Struthio camelus: one gene and its partner. The protein of the gene in region 2 binds, or shares a complex with, the protein of the main gene of each other region. Links are inferred from orthologs where the notes say so. Each region holds a gene or a part of one and is shown on either strand. Other genes may lie near its edges.

Region 1 (11,888 bases), on a different chromosome or scaffold from region 2:
GCCCCACCACCGGCCCGGCCTGGGATGCTGCAAAGGGGCTCCCCGGAGCAGCCACTGCCACCTAGCAGGATCAGGGATTTGGCTAGAAATGAGGTTGTCACCACCAAGCAGGGCTAAGGACGAGGCTGTGCCTTGTCCCCTCGGGTCACACACAGGCACCCAGACCCCTTCTGTGCACGGGAGTGTGGCACGTGGAGAAATGGCCCCTTTCCCTGCCAGGATGGTGGCACAGGTCTGGCACTTGTCCCCGGTGGGGTGGCGGGGGCCATCGGTGCCCCCGTGCTGCAGGGAGCCCATGGCAGGGCTGGGGGGGGGGGCATGGTGGAGGGCACCCGCTGGGTGCTGCGTCCCCCACTCGGTTTCAAGGACGCGCTGGGCGGAGGGGAGGGCACGCAGAGCTCGGGGCAAGCGCTGGCCGGGTAGCACAGCACGGGCCCCTCAAACTTCGGTAACGTGGTGCCAAGCCGGGGCAGTTGGCATCATGTTTGAAAGCCACAATTAGGCTGTAGCGCAATTCGCCTTACGCCCCAGCGGCGCTGCCTGCCAGCGTTCGGTGACAGCAGCGCGAGGGACACGGCGCTGCAGCAGCCGGGCCGGGAGCCTTTGGGCCAGCACCAGGTTACGGGGTCAGGGCGGGGAGGGGGCCGTGGTGCAGCAGTCACTGCCCGAGCTGAGGGAATGGCCACTATAGAGGACATGCCCATAACCATGCCATTTGTCATGAAAATTCGCCCCGAGCCCGCTATCAACAGTTGCCCCCCCCAGCCTCGCGCCCCCGTTCCGCTGCAGCCCGGTAAGGGTCTGTCCCTACTACGTAATTGCAACGCTGGGATGACGCAGGGAGATTATTTTGCAGGGTTCTGCCCCGGGACCCACAATTTGAGCCCAGTGCTTTCTGTTAAGGGAACCCCTGTGCCCAGAGATATAACCCTGTGGAGTCCCCTCCCCTACCAGCAGTCGCACTGAGCACTGGCACCCTCGTGCCCTACAACCCCCAGCAGAGCTGAGCTAGGCGCAGCGGCGGGGAGCAGGGGGGGGAAGTTCATTCGTTTTATTGCAACAGCAACCACAAAAGGAGGCGATAAAAAAAGGGGAGAGGCAGCGCAGCGAGCAGAGCTGCGTGCTCCCCGCAGCCCCTACAGGGCTGCGTGCCCCCCAGGGGAGCTGGGCACCCCCAGAGATTGGGGGGGGTCCCGCAGGGGCCGGGCAGCCTGGCGTCCCCCAGGGGCGCAGGGGGGAAGCGGTGCACGAGCAGCGCAGCCAGCGCGGCGGGACGGCCTGGCCTCACTCGGCCTCGACGGCGATGGGGTTCACCTGGCCTCCTGCTTCCGCCGGCGGCTTCTTGCGTGCGTCGGCGGGGGGCCGGGGCGGCGGGTTGGTGGGTGGCTGCTTGATGGTGTCACCCACGTGCGGCCGCTCCCGGGGCTTCTGCTCGATGGGCCTCCACTCCTCACCACGCACCGCCGCCTGCAAAGCCACCGAGGCTGTGAGGAGGGGAGCACGTGCCCCCACCCAGCCCCTCGCCCACGGCCAGCCCCCCAGAACAGCTCTCAGCATAGAACTGCCCTCCCCCCCCCCCACCAAAAATGACTCCTCAGCGCAAAGCCCGGACAGCCAAGTGGGTGGCACAGAGCTCAGCGGGACCCAGGCATCCTGCCGGGGGGGGGGCTTCTGCCCCAACCGCCACGCTGTGCATCCCCTCCCCACCCCAAGACTCAGCCAGGAAAAGCAAGTGGGGGACAGGCCAGGACGGACAGAGGATGCTGGCCGGGATGGATGGACAGACGGACAGAGGATGCTGGCCAGCCACCACCAGCCCAGCACTCACCAGCAAGTAGATGCCGCTCGCAATGCCCAGGCAGACGGTGCCCAGGATGGTGGAGAGGAGGAAGCCGGCGGGGACGGCCAGCCTGCATGGGGAGAGACGGCGCTCAGCGGGGCACCGCACGGCCGGCTGGCCGGTCGGGGAGGCGGGGGCTGCACCCGCAGCCCGGGGCCCACACAGACCCCTCGGCCCACTTACGCGGCGTGTAGGATGGCCCGGATGTAGTAATTCCTTGTGAGGGGCCCGAACACCTTCACCACAGCCGTCATGTACTTCTGGCCACTGTACGGGAAGATAGAGTGACACAGAGGGGTCAGGCCGGCACTCAGCGCTGAGAGACCCCCTCCCAGGACCTCCCTCTCGCATTGACCCATCCCCATGCTCCCTCATAGCTGCCCTCCTGCACCCCCCATTGATACCAGCACCCCAGGAAACCTGCCTGCAGGATCTGGCCCTGCTCATGTCAGCAAATTGCCCAGGTCAGAAAGCCTGGAAGAAGCTGTTCCCAGCCATCTCCATGCCCCTCTCCTGACCGTGCACCCTCTGATGCTGTGGGGGCCTTTTACCAGGACCCCAAATTCCCAGTGCCAGGGGGGCAGCACCTACCATCTCTCCATGGTGGAGCCCTTTTTCCGCTTGCTCCTGGGGTATTCGAGTAGGCAGACGAAGACGCCTGCTGCGCTGAGGTGGGGGCAGCGTCAAGGAAAGGGATGCTCAGGGTCTGCAGGCCACGATTAGGGGCATCACCATCACTGGAAAAAGCGGGGTGGGGGGGGAGGGCTGGAGCAGGGTGCGTGACACAGGGACAAAGCCATGCAGGGGCAGCAGAGAGTGGACCAGCACCCCCCACCCCCACCCTCATCATCCCCAGGTAATGGGGCCAGCACCCCCAGCCTCCCAGGGAAGTTTTGCAGAAACGTGAAGGTCATGATGCACTTTCAGGACCTGCAGGAAAAGAGCCATTTGGGACAAGAAAATGGTGATTTTGGAAAAGAAACTTGTAAAGAAGAGGAACTTGGGAAAAGAAAGTGAAAGTAAAGGCTACTTGCTATGCTCCAGCAACTCATCCCTGTCTGGCTCCCCTGCAAACAGCCCGGCCGGTCCTCAGCATCACCTCCGGAAGGATACATGGCGTACGCCGCGAAATACCAGCCCTTGAACTGCCCTGCCACGGCCACGATCCCTCCGGTCAACATAACTGCGGGGACACAGCAGGGTCAGCCAGGCAGGCTACGTCCTGTGGCCCAGCAGGGCCCTGCCCCGGGGACCTCTGCCATGCCGGACCCCCTCTGGTTTGAGCGAGGGGAATTGCAGGACTCTGGGGAGAGGTTTTTTTTTTTCCCCGGCGACTGCACACCTCCGCCCATGAGCTTTGCTCCACTCCCAGCTGCCTTGTACAGACAGGACGCCCGGAAAGAGGAGGAAGAGGAGGCTCTAGTCCTGCTAATCCCCAGGCTGGATGGGACTTTCCCAGGCCGTCCTGGGCAGCATCACACCTCCTGCTTGCACCGCCCTGGAAAACCCCGCCAGCCTCATGGGACCCAGCACCCCTTGGTCACGCCACGGCCGGCGCCAAGGGAGCAGCACTGGCGCCGCGGGGCCAGCGCGGAGGCAGGCAGGCCCCGCACGTCCCCGCTTTCGCATACTGACAGCTTCCCCTCGGCCACGAGGCCGTGCCCTACCCCGCTCGCCCGGCTGCCCGACGCAGCCGAAGGACGAGGGCTGGCGGACGACAGATGCACCCCGAGACCCAGACGGAGCAGGGTGCCCGTTTCCTGGGCTGGGTGACGCCGGCAGCTCGGCCCCCGCGGCAAGGAGGAAGCCGCCCGCCTGGGCCAGGGAGCACGGAGCGAAGGCGGCGACGCTCCCCGTGCCAAGGCCGCCCCATCCCGCCGCCCTCCTGCCCGTCGGGCTCCCAGGCGGTGACTCGTCCCCCAAGCAGAGGGCGAAGGCGGCTCGGAGGGACGCGGCTTGGCGGCCCCTGCGCTTCCTCAGCGCCTTCCACCCCCAAGGCCCACCCAGGGCGACTGACTTCTCCACGGGGTTCAGTTACGACAACTGAGCGCAACGGGCTGGAGGGGAAAGAGAGAGGCTCCAGCCCGGCGACCCCACGGGCGGGAGGGCTGGGGGCTTCCTCAAGCCGTCAGCAGCCGCTGGAGGCTCCAGCGGAGCAAGGGCCCAAGCGCTCACGCCCCCGGCGAGGGCCGGGGCCGGCAGGGAGCCCCGGAGCCCCCTCCCCACGCCGGGCAACCCGGGCCTGGCCCCGGCCCCCCCCCGCCCCGCACACTCACTGAGCCCGGCCGCCAGCGCCTGCTCGTTAGCCCACATGGCCCACTCGATCTGCCCCATGGCCCGGTTCGGCCCGGTTCGGCCCGGCCTGGCCCCGCTCGGCTCGGCTCGGCCGCGGCGGAAGCGGCGCGCTACAATGTAGCCGAGCGGCTGCCCCGCCCCGCCCCCTCCGCGACGCCCCGCCCCCGGCCCCGCCCCCCCACGGGGCAGTGGAGGAACGCGCCGGGGGGGGGGGGACGGGGCAGCCCCACGGCCCCCTCGGCTCTCCCGCGACCGCACCAGTACACCCCGAAACACGGCTGCAGATGGGAAAAACCTCTATTTGTTCACAAAAGAGTAAAAACCAGGCCCGGGGGGGGGGGGGGCACATCCTGCCCCGGGGGAGGGGGCTTTGCAGCAGGTCACAGGGCACCAAGCCCAAGGGGCAGCGCGCGGCCAAGCTCCGTCCTTGCCCCGTCTCCCTGGAGGGGCTATGGGCACGGCCGGACCCCCCCAAACTGCCGTCCGGCGCGGCCATCCGGCGCGGCGTCACCACGAACGCGGCCCCACGGCGGGGGGCTCAGGCGCTGCCTCGGGGCAGCCCGTCGGCCCCCAGGAGGTGCTGGCTGGGGTCGTCCAGGAGCTGGGGTCCGGGGCCGGGCTGGGGGCAAGGAGAGGTGTTAGTGGGGAGCCGGGGCTGTTCCCGCCGGGGATCCCCGCTCCAGGCCGTGGGACAGCCAGCCCCGGGGACGGCACCTGGGAATCCTGTCCCCAAAAAGGCCACCCCGTTCGGCAGCCCAGCCTGGGCCGGCACTGCGGGACCACCCCTGGGGATGGGGACGGGGCCCCCTGGCCTACCCGGCCCCCCGCGTACCTTGGTGTGCAGGATGTACCGAAGGGCCCCCGGCACCGGCTCCTGGACCACGGCCGTGAGCAGCTCCTCCGCCGGCGAGGCCGAGCCCACCGGCAGCCCTTGCAGGAACCTGCCGGCACGGCCGAGCGCTCAGCCCCACGCCGCAGCACCCGTCCCCCAGCACGGGGGCCCCGGGGTGACCCACGGCGGGCAGGGCTCGCAGCCCCCAGCCCCTGGGACCCCAGCTCTCCCCCAGCCTCACCGGGAGCCCCGACAGCACTTACTGGTCCCCGTTGGGCGCCGGAGGGAAGCTGCGTTTCACCACCTCCACGAACTCCGCCACGGTGTCGGCCAGCGTGAAGATCACAGCGTTGGGGCCGGCGTCAAAAGTGTAGGCCACCTGCAAGGGGCGGGAGGGTGGGCACCAGCGCCACGGGGCGGGGGGGAGCCCTGGCGCCGGCCCGTGCCGGCCACCTCCTACCTTGGTGCGGCCGTGGTGGGCGTTGTAGCGGTGGGCCAGGGCGATGAGGCGGCGCGAGACGTCGTCGAGGTAGAAGATGGGGGGGAAGGTGTCGAGGCAGGTGGCGTGGAACTGGTTGCTGTCCCGCATGGTGAGCTGGCCGAAGGCCTCGAAGTCCCGCTCGCGGATGTGCTGTGCCATGCGGGCGATGCGCTCCGGCACCAGGGCCTCCGCGCGGTGCTGCGGCGACACGCGGGCCGGGGTCAGCCGTGGCGCCAGCCGCCGCCCCCCGTCCCCGGTTTCGGGGCTGTTCTCAGCCCATCGCCCCCTCGGCTGCACTAGGGCCACGGCAGCGGGTTGCACCCTGCTCCCTCCCAGGGTTGGATCCAAGGGCACTGCCGAGGCCGAGGCGCCACGCTGAGCCCCACGGCCCCCCCTCTGCCCAGGGCAGTGCCCTCCATCCACGCCAGCCCCCCAGCAAGAATTAAAAATACCACCCAAGGGAGACGTGACCCCAACCCACCACAGGACCGGGATGCAGGGAGCTGCCCCGGGGGGCAGGACGGGCCCTGGCATCCCGGCCCCCTACCTTGAGCAAGGGGCTGGTGTCCACGCTGGTCTGCATCCCCGCGGTGCTGCCCACCTGCTTCTTCTCCGCGCTGACCTGGCGCATGGGGGGCAGGCGGTGGGACACGCGGCACCCTGAGCCCCCAGCCCCAATCCCCACCACGGGGATCCCAGACCCCGGCACCGCGCTGGCGGCTGCCCCCAGCCTCGCGCAGGGTCTGCAGGGGGAGCAGGCACCCCGGGGGCCGGGGCTGGGGTGTTCTCAGCACCCTCTCTCCAAACCACGACGAGCCCCGCGAAGGTGGGCACGGGGACAGCCCGCCTCCCCAGCCCCTCACCACCAGCACGAGGATCCTGAGCTCCGGCCAGTGCGTCTCGGGTGCCACTTGCTGCGCCACGCTGTCCTTCCCGTCCGGCCGCTCGCCCTTGTGCCACTGCACGAAGCCCCCGAACATGCTGCGGCAGGCGCTGCCCGAGCCCTGGCGTGCCACCTCCGAGAGCTCGCCCTCCACGCCGTACAGCTGAGCCAGGGCGTACACTGCGGGCACGGCCGCGCGTCAGCCCCAGCGCCCCGGGGCCGCCTGCCGGCCCGGCCCGGCCCGACCCGACCCGCACCCCGGCGCCGGCGCGCGCTCACCCAGGCAGGCGTAGCCGGCTGCCGACGACGCCAGGCCGGCTGCCGTGGGGAAGTCGTTCGCCGTGGCGATGTGGATCTTGTAGGCCAGGCTGAGCGGGGCCGTGTCCTCGGCGGTGTCACCGCCACGGCGCTTCCGGGCCAGGCGCCGCACTGAGATGGCACAGAAGTCGTCGTGGGGGGGGGGTTTAGGCCTCGGGAACGGGGAGGGACGGGGACGGCGAGGCAGGTTTGTACGGTGCCGCGCCTGGGCACCGTCGCTCTCCCCTCCCAGCCTGCTCACGGGGCAGGGTCTGCCCCCTTTCCCTGGGGAAACCGAGGCACGGGAGGGCACTCACCTTCCCGCAGGCAGGACTGCAGCCGGGGGTGCCCCACGTCAGCCTCCTCCCCGTTCAGCCACAGCCGGTCCTCCTTGAAGTCCCGGCTGATGGCAGCGGTGGTGGTGGTCTTCAGCTGGCCGGGGGGCAAAGGACGCTGAGCAGGCGCAGGGAGGGGCTGGGGCAGCCCGCAGCCCCCCAAGGGCGCCAGCGGCCCGTCCTGCAAACCCAGAGTCGCCCGGCCGCAGGGCGGCGTCGCGCACCCAAGGATGAGGCGGGGAAGGCAGAAAGGCCAGGAGAGGCAGGCAAAACGGGGGCTGAACGCCAAAATCCCACACCTTCCCGCAGCTCCGGGCAGCGCCAAAGGCTGTCAGGCTGGGCCACGGCGCGGCGAGTCCGACCGCCCAGCCAGCCGCCCCCGGCCCCGGCAGCAAACGAGCCCCCGTTCCCTGCGAGCGCCACGTCCCTGGTGCCGTGTGAGCTCCTGCACCCGGCTTCTGCCCGCCAAGAAGGACCCCTGCTCTGAGCCAGGCCCCCCACCTCGCCGTGCCAACCTGGTCCTGGTGCAGCGTCACGCTCAGCGAGGAGTTGATGGGCAGGATCAGGTCGCTGTCCCGCTTGCCCCCTGCAAGAGACGCGCGGGTGGGGTGCGCGTGGGGGCCTGGTGCCAGCCCGTGCTGCTCGTGCCCTCCCGCTCCGGGCCGAACCGGCTGCCACGGGGCTGGCACGGCACGGCACGGCACGGCCTCTCGCCCTCCTCGGTGAAGGCTGGCGCAAGCCGGCGCCTTTGGGGCTCGCTGGAGCCCGCTGCAGGGGAGCGATGGGAGCCCACCGGCAAGGGCTTTGCTCCTGCCGTCCTCGAGCCCATCCAGGCAGCCGCCCCATGGACGTGCCCACCTCCTCAGGGGTCCCAGCTCGGGGGGGGGGGGTTCCCCAGGGATTTAGGGGAGGGGGAAACCCTGGAGAGTCACAGCCCTGGGGACAGCCCAGGGGACCGACGGGTCCCGGGGGCCCTTCTGGGATGACACAACCCGCTGCGGTTTCTGCATCGCCCCACAGCGAGGGGCAGCCCCCGTGCTCGCCCCGGTGCTGAGCCCCGCCGTGCTCGGGGCCCTGCAGGCAGCTCTGCCCCGGCCCCCGGGGCAAGGAGGGGTCCGCGCCGGGGGGCGGGACGCTCGGGTACTCACAGTACTTGATGACAGCTATGTTGACAGGGGCCGTGCAGGTGACCATGGTGAGAGCCTTGTCCTCGGACATGGTGGCGACCCGTCCCCGGCCACGCACTCAGCTCGGGGACACGACCCGAGCCCCGGCAGCACCAACCCAGGCTGGGTGCAAAGCCCCGGGCAAGCGCTCGGCTTGGCCCCCAAGCAAGACCCGGCCCCCGAGCAGCCCCAGCACCCCCGCACCGACGGGGCAGGATCGGGCCGGGCCAGCCCCGCTCCCGGCCTCGGACCACCCACGTGCCGGCGCCGCGCAACACTGTAGCGAGCTGCCGTCACCCCATTGGCTGGCGCCACCGCGGCCGGCCCCGGGCGCCCAATAGCCTCGATCGGACCACGGGCGCTGGCCACGCCCCGCAGTCCCCCGCCCGGAACGTCAGGGCCGCCCCGGTTTCCCCCGCCGGAGGGCTTTGGGCCGCGCGCAAGGCGGAGGGGGAGCGAGGCCGCGGGGCGCGCGCGGCGCCATGTCCGTGCCCGGAGCGCGGCACTGCGCATGCGCCGCCCCTGCCCGCCGTGACACCGTGGGGGGTGGGGGGGCGTGAGCCAATCCCAGTGCTCCCAGTGCTCCCAGTGCCCAGGGTTCCCCTATGGCCTCCAGTTCCCCCAGCCCTCCCAGGGCTCAGTACCCCCTGTGATCCCAATACCCGGTGCCCCCAGTGCTCCCAGTATCCACTGCCCCCAGTATCCCCCAATGCCTCCATTGCTCCCACTACCTACTGCCCCCAGTGCTCCCACTGTTCCCAATGCTCCCAGTACCCACTGCGCCCAGTGTTCCCAGTGCCCCCACTTCCCCCAGTGCCCCCATTGCCCCCAGTTCCCCCAGTGCTCCCAGTGCCCCCACCTCTCCCCTTGCCCCCAGTGCCCCCATTGCCCCCAGTGCCTCCATTGCCCCTAGTGCCCTCACTTTCCCCAGTGCCCCCAGTGTTCCCAGTGCCCCCACTTTTCCCCTTGCCCCCATTGCCCTCAGTGCCCTCAGTGCCCCCAGTGCCCCTAGTGCCCCCACTTTCCCCAGTGCTCCCAGTGTTCCCAGTGCCCCCACTTTTCCCCTTGCCCCCATTGTCCCCATTGTCCCCAGTGCCCCCAGTGTTCCCAGTGCCCCCACTTTCCCCAGTGCTCCCAGTGTTCCCAGTGCCCCCACTTTCCCCATTGCCCCTATTGCCCTCAGTGCCCCCATTGCCCGCAGTGCCCCCACTTTCCCCAGTGCCCCCAGTGTTCCCAGTGCCCCCAGTGCCCCGACTTTCCCCAGTGCCCCCAGTGTTCCCAGTGCCCCCAGTGCTCCCATTGTCCCCAGTGCCCCGTGCCCACGCTCCAGGGCTTCCCCCAGCCCGGGGACACCCCGCGCGGGGCCGCGGCCGCCGGCCGCCCAGGGCACGCGCCCCGGCGTATTTTTATGCACCGGTCACTCGCAGCGGAAAATATTCCGCAGCTCGTCGTGCTGGGGAGGGGGGGGACGCGCACGCCTGGCCCCCGGCGACCCACAGAGCCCCCCGCGCCGCCCAAAATAGCCCCGGGGGCACCGCGGCGCGGGAACCTCCGCCGGAGCCGCGCCGGGCAGCGGCGCTTGCCGGGGGCGCGGGGCACCGTGCCCGGCCCCTCCGCGTCCCCCCCCCACCCCAACCCACCACCACCCCGGGATATTTATAGGCTTTTTCCATGGGCGGGAGGCGAGGGGAAAACACGCGGGCTATTTTGGCGCTGCGGATTCTTTCCCCCCGGCCGCCCGGGACAGGTGCGAAGCCGCATTTAGCCGGGCAGAGCCGCAAATAGAGCCGAGTTTACAATACAGCTTCCTTTCGGCATCTGCCGCTATTTATAAGCCGGCCGAGAAGCCCCCCCCCCCCAAACCAACCACCGGCGCTGCCCCAAACATCGCTATTAGCGCCGCGCTCCCGGGCGCTTTCGGCCGGGCCGGTGGAGGTGACGTGGTGGGGGGGGAGCAGCTTAGCCGGGATGCGGCGTGCGCGCCGCCGCGGGGCTCCCGGCCGCGGGAGCTCGTCCCGCTCGGTGGCCGTCCCCGGCCGCCCAGCGAGGAAAGCCGGGGCAGGCGGTGGCGGCGGCGGGGGCAAGCGAGCGAGCGGGGGCCGGGGCCGAGCCGCTCACCGGCCCGCGGGCCGCTCGGGTTACATCCCGCGCTCAGCAAAAACCCAATATCCCCTGCTGCTATTTTTAGGACCGGCGGCAGCACCGGGGTTGGCACCCCGCTTGCCACCGAAAGGCAACCGGAGGGTGCGCCGGTGGGGCGCTGGCGCTGCTGCCGGCGCGGGGCACGGTCCCCCGGCGTCCCCGCCGCCCTTGGCCAAGCCGGACCGTCTCTCCAGAGCCGGCAATGCCCCCGGGCCCCCCGAGATGCCCAGCCGAGCCGGGCCGAGCCGTCGAGCGCCGGCTCAGCCCGCCGGGGCTGGCAGGGCACGAGGATCTCAGCCCCGGGGATGCTCCCAGCGCCGGGCAATAAGGGACCGTCTCTGGGCTCAGGTCCACAGCGTTCGGCTCCGCTTTTAATTACTTCTGCAATTCAACGTCTAGGAAGCCGAGGCGGCGCCGGCGGCGGCCCCGGAGACCTCGCAGCCGGCAGCGCGGGCGGCAAGGGGCTCGGGCGCTGCGTCCTCCAGCCCGGCCCGGCACGAAGCTCCGCAGCCAAGACGGTGCCGCGGCCGGCCAGCGGCGGGGAGGCAGCCGCGGGGCTTCGGCGGCCGGCTCGGACCCGCGGGGCCCCCGTCCGGCTGCTCCCGCGTCCCTCCTCGGGGCACGGTGCGGGCAGGCGTGCGGCGGCGGCTCAGGACGCGGCACAGCACCCGCCGTCCTCGTGCCGGGCCAGCAGCGACATGCGGGAGAAGGTCTTGGAGCAGGCGCGGCACTGGTACTTCTTGACGTCGGAGTGGGTCTGGAGGTGGGCGCGCAGGTTGGAGCGGTCGGCGAAGGCCCGGCTGCAGTGGGGGCAGGCGTAGGGCTTCTCTCCTGCGGGACACCCCAACCCGGAGATCGGGCTCATAGGGCGGCTCTGCCCCCCCCCCCCCAAAACCCCTCTGCTTGGCCGGCTGAGGCTGGTGACCTCTGGCCACGGCCCGGACCGTGGCGCGTCCCCTCCGCGGTGACCTGCGTCGTGTGCGCGCAGCCCTGACCCACATGGTGTGTGCACAGCCCCAGCCTGCATCGCGTGTGAGCAGCCTCGACCCGTATCATGTATGCACAGCCCTGATCCGCGTTGCATGTGCACAGCCCTGACCTGCATCATGTGTGCTCGGCCCCGACTCGCATTGCGTGTGCACAGCCCCGACCTCCATCACATGTGCACAGCCCCGACCTGCACCGCGTGTGCACAGCCCCGACCTCCATCACATGTGCACAGCCCCGACCTGCACCGCGTGTGCACAGCCCCGACCTCCATCACATGTGCACAGCCCCGACCTCCATCACATGTGCACAGCCCTGACCCGCATCACGTGTGCACAGCCCCAACCTGCACTGTGCATGCACAGCCCGGACCTGCACCGCGTGTGCACAGCACTAACCCGCACTGCACGTGCACAGCCCCGACCTGCATCACATGTGCACAGCCCCAGCCCGCGTCGCGCCTGCTCCCAGCCCGGGCACTCCCCTCCGCTCTCGGGGTGCGCCTGCCTCCGGGCATCCCAGCCTTGCTCTGGAGCTAGGACACCTGCGCCGGCAGGGCTTTATGCATCTGAGGCACTTCGCAGGCTCTGCTTGGCCTCCACGGCCTAATTACAGAGGGGAAACTGAGGC
Region 2 (11,604 bases):
TAACAAGCCAGAACAAGGAGTTAAAACTATTCACTCTTCCCCTCCTCCAAAAAAGTTAACTTGTCATTTCAGCTCCCTGGGCCATCTCATCAGTTAGATCGATTTGAATGCTTTGTTAAATTGCACTCTTAACACTACAAAGCAGGCTACACTGGTCTACCTTATAAAAGACTAATGTAAAACCACCAAAGTACCAAGAGGAGCAAAGGCCAGCTTCTTCGGAGCCCTCCGGAGGCTCTGATGCTTCCAGAACCTGTTTGGTCTGAGCCTTCATCTTCCAGTTAAGATCATTACAGATAATTTAATCATCTAACAAATCTGTGTTGAACTAACACTTTCAGCAGTGGATCAAGAACTCCTCTACATTCATGCTCCCTTGCTCACCTTGCACTGAAACTGGTGAGTCTGCTCTGGCTAATCAGAACAGTCCAGGAAGGAGGTGGTGAAAGATTTCATCCCGAACACCAGAGTGCCTGTAGCGCGGTGCTGCAGCACCAACCAGGCAGAGTCGTTGAAACAAGAAAACACACGCCCAGCAACCCTGCTTCGGACTTGTTCCGTTCTAGGTTTCCTGCTTTCCTCGCCTTTTGGCTCACTGCCTTACGAATCAGATTTGCATGGTCACCAAATCTTTAAAAATGAACACTAACACCTACCTTTACAAAGTAGATCCTCCAAGTACTTTATTAACTTTTTTTTTTTTTTAAAGGCATCTAGCTTCTGTATTAAAACAACTCCCCGAGGATTCTGATTGTTTGGCAAAGTATAAATCCCTGTACATGAAGGCTGGAGACTGAGAAACTAAAATATCACCAACTCAGAATTAGTCATAACAGAATTTCTAGCAACTACTTAATCACAGCTCTGTCCACCCACTATTACATCAAATGAAACTAGCAACATTTGACTGGAATTAAAACATGGCCTAGAGAAATCTGCAGTGTTTTAACCACTTAACAATAAGTGAAAATCTTATAAAAGACAGCAGTGAGTCCCTCGTTGTTTCCTGGTGCCATCCAGGAATTAATCTATTTATAAAACCACATACGTATCAATTTCTGAAACAAAATATGTCATCTCTTTCCTGGCCTTATTTACACTAATAAGTTTGAGGAAGTTTCCCACTGTGTTAGAGCTGCTGGGAGCAGCGTTACAGGACATGCAGTAAAAATGCTGTCAGACAACCTGCCATCCTAAAGGCTCTGGAGCTGCACAGATGGTTGAGAGGCTCCTGCTACCCCACAGCTGAAAACCACTTGTGAGAACTGAGCTCCAACTCGCAACCACAGAAACGGATGCCAGCTGAAGAACTTGCTTTTTTAATTCCCTAAATGTTGATATCAGCAAACAGGTGGCAGCCTTCACAGAAAGCTTTGATGTGTCCATTCTTTCTTTCTCTGATCCACATGAACTAGCACCCTGGCAAACACTGCGTACAGCCCGGGTCTTCACTCAGACTTTAAACAGTGGACGAGACTTCTTCAGCACGCTCATCAGATCAAAGGTTAAGTAAGTATTTTTGCTATGGTGGTTTTAGTTATACACTACTCTTCAAGATAAACCATTTTACTCACTGTGACACTCCTCTCCCAAATACACTATTCAGTATCTACAGTACTATGTCTTCTATCTTGGACAGCATAGTAAGAGTTGCTTCCAAATTTCAAGTCACTGCACTCTCTACAGACTGCACTGGAGAGATCTCAAGTGTTCAGCATCTTACACAAATACTGCACTGCACTCAACAAAAAGCCAATTATCCTCCCCCTCTTCTTGAGGGGCTATCAAATCAAATATAGCATGGCTTTAGCAAACAAGGCCACAAATTAGGTAAAATTTCAAACAGGGACCATTTCTGGGGCATCTAGTTATCATTTCTGCAACATGCAAGACTTCCCCTAACATGACAAGGCATCCCCTGAGATGCCATACCACTGAACAGCTGCTTTTTTAAAGTTAGCAGCTTTTGCTTCCATTCTAAAAATAACTTACACCAATGTTTTTTCTTAAGTCTCAATCAACAGCAATTCTTGTAGAGTTATTCAAGTGGAGGGCTGTTCAGATGTCCTGCACACTCTTACTTGTCTGTATCAAGAAGCCAAAGCAACAGTTGCCATCTATTTTTCCCCAAACAATTCTCACAGTGAGGAAGCAAACCAGGGCAAAATAGGATAGCACAACTAGCACATATGCCATGCTTTGAGCCAAACTACATGTCTAAACTGATACTGGTCAAAGCCCTGGAAAACAAACATGAGATACTTATCAGAAACAGCCTGCCCATTTACAATTTCAAAAAATTGTCACACAGGTACTTCTATAGCCTTGTTTATTTTGTTCCTAGCAGATCTTTGTAAAACAGTACCTGAGTTTTACATTATGTAAGCAATCGTTAACTTGTATTGTTTTCCAGAAACACTAAAGCTTTAGCCTTATCTAAGCCAAACATTACACCTTTTCTAGAATACTGGTAAAGCTTGAACTTCTGAAGCAGCAGAACAGGGAAGCAAATGATTGAATATAAAAAGCTCAATGGAAGACCATAAAAAGTTACCAAAAACAAGCAATGATATCTCAGTAGCATCTTGAAAGAGATTTGTTTCTAACTGAGAAAGAAGGAAAGCAAGTTAGAATGACTGCATTTTATTCACACATATGTATAAAACTCAGGTAGAATTACACCATTTTCATTACCAAGACAAAGAGCAATAAGTTTGGAAGCGGGGTGGTATTTACAAAGCAAATGATGAGTAAAACTGTTTTATTGAATGAATTACTGTACATCATATAGTTTTTCTATGCTGAGTTCTCAAATCTATTAGAGGAAGTAGATAAACTTTTTCCCCACCCAAGCATGATGCATTGCATTTATTTACATCATTCAGTCACAGACAATGTTGTTCACTTGAATGAAAAAAAATCTGAGATGACAGGAAAATAAAATAGTTAAAAAACAGTGTAACCAAAATAACATAGCTATATCGTGTATCAATGAATGACATTACTATAGAAAGTCTTCATTTGTCAGGATTTCACTGTCACATCCTCATTGCTCAGCATCTTACAAAGAAAAGTCAAAACATTTTTTTTAGGCTGAATATATTTATCTTTCAATCACAGTAAGCTATCTTTTTAGGGAGTCTATATCTTCGAAGCCAAGTAACTTAAAGATTAAGCCACCATGTGAAATTACACAGGCAGTGGCAAGACCATTTAGCTACACTTACATTTCACTGTCATCTACACAAGTTTGCTGTGATACCAATTATGCTCAGACTACACTGGGATTTTTGTTTCTACTAAAGAAAAAAAAAAACTCTCAAACTGCATAAGACTAGTCTTGTTTTCCAGCTGGCCTATGATGCTCCCCTGAGCTCTGACATCCAGCAAGAAAAAGAATGCCTCTGAGCTGATGGGGATAGCTTGGTGGAGAACATTCACAAGCAGCAAACACACAAACTCCTTCTCCACCACAATTTCAGCGTTCTTTAGATCCAAACCCAGCAGCTAAACGCAGACTTAATCTGATTGTAAAAAGCATTCTCAGGTTGTTTCGGTTGTAAGTAATACCATATCAGAACACCATAGGTGTAACAGAGCCTTACAGACAAGTATTTTTGTACTGCAATCGCTTTATCTGTCTCCTTCACAGAGGAACCGTACAGGCCTAGGTGTAAGCGTGCAAAACACAAGTCTCTGCCCACCAGCATTTACGACCCGCGTCGAGCTTAGCGCGTTTCCCCCAGCCCTACTACAAGAACGCGATGTCAAAAACCAAGCTACAAGCAGCAACAAGAGAAACTTTTCCCGGAGTTACTTTCAGTAAAGGCGTTTCAAACCAGCACCAGATTTCCCCTGTCACTAAGGGCATCGTAAAACGATTGGTAACGCGCTAGGGCTACCCCGGTGCGCCTGAGACCTCGGAGAGCGGCCGGAGGAGGACGCGGAGCCGGGCGAGGCGGCCGGCCCGCACCGAGGCGCGCCTAGGGCGGCCGCTTCTGCCCGCACGAGCCGGGCGGCTCACCCGCCGCCCGCGCACCTTCTCCCGGGCGGGCTCGGGTGCGGAGCCGGCGCTGCAGGCCCCCCGCGCTTGTTACGCCCCCGCGGAAGCCTCCCTCTCCCCCTCCTCGGCAGCCACCATTCGCTGCCCGCCCGCCCCGCCGGGCCCCGCGCTCCCGCCCCCGCCCCCAGCAGGAAGCCGCCGCCCGCCCCCTCAGCGCGGACGCCCACACGGGCCCGGGCAGCCCCCGCGCCCTGCGCAGCGGTTGGGCCGCGCCCCAGCCCCGCAGCCAGACCGGACCGGACCGGACCGGACCGGGCCGCCGCCCCCACCCCACCCCACCCCACCCCACCCCACTCCACCCACCTCCCCTCAGGCCGCCGAGCCGCGCGGCGCCTCGCACTCACCCGTCGCCCACCACCACACACTTGATGGCCTGCATCGGGGTTGCGCCGCCGCGGGGGCTGCTCGGGCCGGGGCCGCGCGAGAAGGGAGCCGGCGGCGGTCTGCGCACCGGGTCGCGGCCGCCTCCGCGCTGTGCCTGGCAGCGGGGGACGAGGCAGCGGCCACCACCCAAGGCGGCGAGAGGGGCGGGCTGCAGTGGAACAGGAAACCGCTCCAGTCACATCCGGCTCGGCCCCGCCGCTCCGTCTCCCGGGCCCCAACTCGGCGAGGCCCCGCCCGCCCCCGGAGCCGCTTCGTGCCTCTCCGGCCAGGCGGCGGCGCCGCTTCGGAGCGCTTCGGCAGCGCTCGGGTGTTTCCGCCGCACCGCCCGGGCTTCGGAGTGCTTCGGCAGCGCTCGGGTGTTTCCGCCGCACCGCCCCGGCTTCGGAGTGCTTCGGCAGCACTCGGGTGTTTCCGCCGCGTCGCGCCCTGGGGGCTTGGGCAGGGCTCGGCTGCGCCGTGCGTGTGCTGCCGACCCAGTGCGGGAGCGCGGAGCCGCCTGGCCCGCCGCCGCGGGAGCGCGCAGGCCCCCAGGGTCATCCTTTTGGGTTCTTTTAATCAGAAATGTGGTGTGATGCGCTGGCTCTGCTGAGCGCAGCCCAGCCGTCAGGCGTCGCGGTGCGGCGGCCGGGCCCGGCGGAGGCGCGCAGGCCGCAGCAGGGCGGCCATGTCGCGGCGGCAGCCCGCCGGGGCGCATCGGCCTGGCGCTGTCGCCGGCGCCGTCACGTCGGGGCGAAGCGCTCTCGAACCCAGAGCTGGCTCCCGGCACCCCTTTGGGGTGCTGCGGCTCGGTCCTGACCCAGCCTGGCGCAATCCGAGCGCCCACGTGGCGCCTCGCGCCTCGCGAGGCCTGCGAAGGTGGGATGGCGTTTGCCCCTGCAGACCGTGTGAGGGACATTATGTCTTTCCTTGACACAATGCGCCAAAGTACAGGTTTGCCGTGCGGATGTAACTCCGTGAGGTTCCCGGCGTGCGGCTGTGGGCCGCTCCCGGTGTTGGCCAGCCGGCCGTGGGCGGTGGGACTGCGCGTCACACCGCGAGCCAGCGCAGGGCTGTCAGGACGTTCTCGTCCTCAAGGGAGCCCTGTGCCGCCCTCCTCCTCCTCACGTGCTACAGCCTTCATGAACTCTGCCGGCAAGTTTTAGAGCAGGCCGGCACAGGCAGTCTGCGCGAGAGGGGCGGTGAGGGCTCACGGAGAGACGTGCCCGCCGCCACGGCCCGCTGCGACCTCCCCCGAGCGCTGCCCGGGAGGTCGCTGCCGTTGGGCTTGTGGCACCGCGCACGTCTCCAAGTTACTTCTTCCATGGTCTTCCAGCCACAGCTTGCCACCCCACACAACGTGGCACAACACCGAGAGATGTGACGCGCGGTGATATGTGTATTTCTGCTTAGTTATTCTTAACGGTTTTGAACTCCAAAGGTGTTAAGAAAAATAAAGATTAGCACCACAGTATTTTCTATTATTTTGGCTTGTATTTTATGAACCAGCTTTGCAGGGTCAAAGCAAGAGGCATATAAATTATAAATATATCCACCCAGGAATAATATTAGTGTTAACACTTATTCATTTCTGGGATGCTTTAGATTTCATTGCTTTGGAGCTCTCTTTTCCACAAGAAAACAGATATTTTTATGAATTACTGAAGTGACAGGCGTGCTCTAGCATGTAAGTAAATACTTATGTACTGGAACACATAGGTTAATAGAATAATTTAAAAGTCAAGCAGAGCAGGTCCAATGATCTCCGGAGTTATTTCATTTCTTCCATTTGTTCTCGCGGTGATTCTGCTCGCAGAGAAGCTTCTCATTGGACTGCTCTTCTCTTTGTCTACATTGCCAGCCATTCCTCAAAGAAAGCGTGAGGAAAAGGCCCATACACATGCTGCCTCTGCCAGGGGCTGATGAATCCAGTGAAATCAGTATAAAGGACTATACCACCCTGGAAGTTTTTCCAGTGATTTGATCTCATACTACTTCCTGAACATTTCTAAGCAAATATGATAACAGTACAGTGCAACCTCACTGGTGGACAGGGCATTCCATGATACTTACTCTTTTTGTTCTTTTGCTGAGCAAAGAAAATTCTCATATATTTCACTTCAGTCAGGAAAACATCATAAAGATCACTGTAACCTGAAAAGCTCTTGCAACACTTTTTTTTGGAACACTTGCATGTCCCTATCCCCTCATACAGATGGAAGTTGAAATGGCTGTTGTCATTTAAGCTAAATATCCTTAAAACCAACACTCTGCTGCTAGCGATGACCTGGCAACCGTTCCCTACCCAGCAGCCGGGAGCTGCGGGAGAGAGGTGTGGGCAGTATCACAGTGCTCTTGCTGTTCTTGGCTGCTGCAACGCTTTTGGAGCTTCTGAGATGCTGCATAGAAACAGAGCAGACATGAAGCCTGTCTAATTTATGCCATGGGCCTGGGGAGACACAGAACACAGGAAGATTCAAGGGACACGTAAAACTACTTTCAATTTTCCCACCACCTACATATTCTTCTGCAGGTTCTTACATTATCCAGTGTTATCAGACGGATTATGGGGTTTTTTAATGTGAAAAAGAGATACAACAAAATTTACAATATTAAAACATGCAGTATTCTTCTGTGGTTTATACTTCATAAATAATAATAACTACAACACGTTTTTGCGATGTTCAACTTTGGCTTTGATTTTGCCTTTAGTTAAATGGTAATTTAACTGTATTTTTTGCTGCGGTTATAGAAACCGACTGTCATTTAAAAATACAAAATGACTTTAACAGCATAAAAATACTGTAATGGAGAAAAGGTTATGATGGAAAAAAACATTTACGTTAGCACAAATTGTTTTCACGATCCTGTCATGAGACAAGCAATATCTTTTTACGTATGTTCTTTTCAGTGCTCCTCCATCTGATTCTTTTGGGATCAATTGTTTTGCATTGATAAAAAATAACTTAGAACACAATATGCTTTGATTATTTTAATTGAGTATATAAAGACTAACATTATAAAATATCTACATAAATATTCACTGTTAGTCACTAAAAACAATACTACAAATTTGATATATGATGATGATAACTGTAATAGATGCACCCAGTTTTGTTTCCATGTGTTTGCAAATCTTTTGGAATAGTTCAAAACTTTGCATTTGGAATCCTAGCTGATACCTTTGTTAAGGTAACTATTCTTAGATGCTCTGCAAGACAAACTGGTAGTTGTGTGTACTTTGAGTATATTATGCATTAATTATTTGTTTGTTAATTAATTTTAGTATAGTTCAGCTTCTTCTTTTTTATACTACTTCTTTTTTGCTAACTATTATGTAGTATACTTGGTTTTAAAGAGAAACAAATAACTTAGATGGTGCTACAAATGTGTAACGCTCTGCAGACATGTTTTTTTCCCTGAGACTGCAAGAAGAAATGGTCACAGGGAACACGTAAAACATTAAGTTTGTCAGAAGATAAGGAACTTAGAGAATAGTTTGAAAGGCAGGGCAAAGGAGTGAGCAGTTAAAGCCAAACAATTTCATAGAGAAATAGCTGGTTGATAGATGTGATTGCACTGCTGAGTAGTGTACAGAATACAGTTAAAAATGCAGTGCAGAGAGGAGTATGTAAAAAGAAAACATGAATGGTAGTAACTGTAAGCAACCTTTGCATAATTCTGATAAGGTCATGAATCATAAACTTGAGGCTTAGATCAGTCCTAATTTTGATCTATAATCTATCACCCTACCTTCACTTATCTATTGCAATTTTTGATATTTTTTTTTCTTAGACATTGAGAGGAAATAATTATTTAATATTGTCTCAGATACTGCCTGCATGTGAGTATTGTGTATGTGCTGGCACTGAAGGAGGTTATGTTCCTTTTTGGGTGGGGAGTGGCAGGATAATCACACTGATGCAATACTGGAAAGTTTTACTCACCATGACATAGACTATCAGGATTACAGAGACAATAATAATTCGCAATTTTATAGCATCTCCCAGCCCAAACTATTACTGTATTCTTTCACGTGTTAGCTAATAAAGCCACCCACAAATCACTGAGATGTAGAGATACAAAGTAGTATGCCTGTTGTACATAGGGGGAAACATATCAGTGAAAAAAAAAACAGAACACCTAAGCGTGATTCAGAGATCTGTTCTCTTAATCTCAGATGACACTTCCTGCTGCCAGCAGCGCTGTTCAATTGCTTTCAGCAAACAGTGTGTTACAGTATCTAAGTCGAAAGCAAAAGCCTATCTTTGTTGATAGTGTAAAAACTGTTTTGGGGTGAAAAGCTGTAATCATAGTTCACAGCTACTTGAAATTAAGGATTGGGCTGAAGAAATGCAGGAGCAAATTTTGCACAAACCAAAGGTGAATCATGAATCATGTCAGAGGGCAGAATAAAGTTTATAGCCTATGTACTCTTAAACCTTCGGATATTCGTAATAAAAATAGAAGCAGACAACAAAACTTAGAAGTATTTCTCTTATTGGAGAAGAACAGGATTTCCAAATGCTTTTTCATCCTATGATAGCTAGAAGAATTGTCTTACTTAAAAAATGTACTTGCGACTTGATGTTATGCTCATTTGAGTTGGTGGTAAAAGGCACATGATTACTAATGTAATACCGGGGCTATAGTAATTGGTGGAAAGAAACATGCAAGCACAGCACTGAGCACCAGAAATTCCTTCCTGGATTCCAGGTCCCTCTGTGACATCATGTGCCGTTGTGGCCTGTCAGTCACTGAGCCCCCCAGCTTCCTCATGTTTTAATCAGCATAATACTCATTCACTTTGTTTTGATAGTAGTTAACACTTACGGGTCTGCACGTAATACAGTCTGCTGGAGTTCTGCAGTTTTGTAAACTGCATATCTTTGAATTCTTTAGTTATGTATTTTAGTCAAACTAATAGCGCTCTTGGTTTGATTTAGCAAAGTGACGCTATCTCTCATTGTGGAGGAAATTCAGAGTATCTTCACTGAAGTTGGGGAGTTAGAGTGACAAAAAAATCATGTTAGAAAAGAATATAATGCACAAACAATGGTCTACAACTTTAGATATTCTAGGCAGACGTTTTCGGCATGGTTAGTTTCCAGAATCTTTGAAAAAAGACCTGTACCAGCATGTGATATGTGCACTGTTCAAATATAGTACGCAGTCTGCTCTAGAGGAACCAAAGCCAACAGTAAAAAAGGAACCACAACTTTTAAATGTCAGCATGTGCTGCATTAGAGAGAAGAGATTAAAGGAATATGCAAATAAAATGCTAGCATAAAAATGTCTAAATTAGCAATGAAGCATTGTAAAATAAATGCATCACATTCATGTGATGTTAGCATAGATGGTTTAGCTGGTATACATACATACACAAAAGAAACAAGTCATTGATTTTCTTTGGGTAGCTTCTGATAAACATCTATTCTGTGAAGAATGTCAGTTATAACAACCACATAAAACTTTGCATTCATTTGTGTCTGCCTGTCCTCAGGTTTAGCCAGCAGTAACTAACTGACAGAGTGCTTACTGTAGAGAGCTGGTGTTGAAGACAGTGGGACTATACAGTATTCACTGTATATGGCTGTAAGCTTTTTGGAATAGGGACATTTTGATATATTTGTAAACAAGGAACTGAAACTTCTCTGTGTTACTTCTCTTTTTTATCACTGTAATTCTCTCAGTAGAAATAAGGGAATAAGCCTTTTGCCAGCTGTAAGCATCTCATCATGTCCTGAGGTGACAGACTGCCGAAGCGCAGAGACGTGTAAGGAACAGATTCCCCTCAGCTTTTACCTATCTTGAGTCCAGCGTTTCACAGAAGTGGGCTTTAAAATGCTAAAGGGAAGGATAAAGAAAGGTTTAACTATTACATAAGCCCATTCAGTATTGCTGGTTTTACTGCCTTCCACTGGCCGATCATTTTTCAACGTAGTTATGTGAATAAAGACCCAAGGCTACACACTTGGACCTGGCAACCTGATTTGTTTTGAAATATTGAGTAGGTTTTGGACTTGCTTATGGACTTAACAGAACCAGGACCTGAAATGGACCGAGTCTTCTGTGGTCAGTTTGACGGGGGATAGGTGGAGCGATGGGAAGCCTAGTTCCCTCTTTCCCAGCTATAACTTGTGTACCAGCTAACAACCTCTCTTGAACTGGAAGGCAAGACAACAAACAGACATAGCTTCAAAAACCACATTAGATCAAACCCAGAAATTAAATTCAATGATTGCTCATGTAACATGATGAGGATTCAGAACATAAATGTACATTTATTACAGAAATAAGACAACTGTCAAAAAGTGATTATATATTCTGGAATCTATTCCTCCTTGGAAGTGCTTGTAGAAAATTAAGAAGAACTTATGAGAGAAATAAATAGCACAAATAACAATAAACTAGCTTAACTTAGCGTAAGCAGAATACAGAGCTTATATGAACAACTTCATTTTTTTAAATTATTTTATGCTGATAAGCTGCTACGTAACTATTTCTGATAAGATGAATACTTAAAAAAAGAAGCTATTTGATTTATTCTCCAGTTCCTAAATATAAAGATTATAAAACCGTTCTCTTTGCAAAACAGTGGTGACATGCAGTTTAATGATGACATAGGTTAATCACCTTCTTTATATTTTACCAAGAGATGCAATTCGGTGACTAGTATTTTAGCTTACTTTCGGCAGCTAGATATTCTGATTTAAATGATAGACTCTGCTTTTATTAAGCTGATGAAAAATATCTCTTCAAATGTGATCTTGCATCTTGTTAATATTGAATATGTTGAAGTATTAACACTATTGAGGGCAAGCTTTATACAACACTAAATGCGCTATAATACAATAGCTTCTGCAAGAGTTGTTCATATTATCAGTAGCTTAAAATGTATCTAACTATAACTTGACAGCACTGTGTTGCTAGAAACCACATCTGTGTTTTACACTTCATTTTCTGAAAGATTTTGGAGAGAGGGACAATAAGGCCCCTGAAGGATGCCTGGGATTCCAAGACAGACCGCTCTTGGGGAAGGAAAATACAATGTCAGCAGACAGGCTGCCATAGCTGGTGACAAGTTTCCTTCAGTCCTAAAAAAAAACTGCTCACAAAAAGGTGTTTGTTAAGAGACATCTTTACTCTAGTTTTGTTTTGTTTTTCTTAACTTTCAGTCC

The links.
Region 1: RAC1 (region 2) and CYBA share a complex: the UniProt entries of both Homo sapiens proteins name them as parts of the phagocyte NADPH oxidase complex. The link is inferred for Struthio camelus from reciprocal best matches to the Homo sapiens genes RAC1 and CYBA.

What each region holds. Positions count from the first base shown.
Region 1 is NC_090951.1:2,453,501-2,465,388, reverse strand, and holds CYBA (cytochrome b-245 light chain), read right to left. Parts: upstream 4,297-11,888; 5' UTR 4,175-4,296; coding exon 4,117-4,174; intron 3,846-4,116; exon of another isoform or gene 3,193-3,845; coding exon of another isoform or gene 3,183-3,192; intron 3,024-3,182; coding exon 2,954-3,023; intron 2,507-2,953; coding exon 2,432-2,506; intron 2,108-2,431; coding exon 2,024-2,107; intron 1,911-2,023; coding exon 1,829-1,910; intron 1,468-1,828; coding exon 1,285-1,467; 3' UTR 1,037-1,284; downstream 1-1,036. Other genes in the region: MVD (diphosphomevalonate decarboxylase), read right to left, coding at 4,674-4,754, 4,968-5,076, 5,231-5,346, 5,428-5,646, 5,996-6,070, 6,312-6,511, 6,611-6,760, 6,946-7,060 and 2 more; zinc finger protein SNAI3, read right to left, coding at 10,921-11,102. UniProt on the Homo sapiens protein: Subunit of NADPH oxidase complexes that is required for the NADPH oxidase activity that generates, in various cell types, superoxide from molecular oxygen utilizing NADPH as an electron donor.
Region 2 is NC_090956.1:9,197,461-9,209,064, reverse strand, and holds the start of RAC1 (ras-related C3 botulinum toxin substrate 1), read right to left. Parts: upstream 4,831-11,604; 5' UTR 4,443-4,830; coding exon 4,408-4,442; intron 1-4,407. UniProt on the Homo sapiens protein: Plasma membrane-associated small GTPase which cycles between active GTP-bound and inactive GDP-bound states.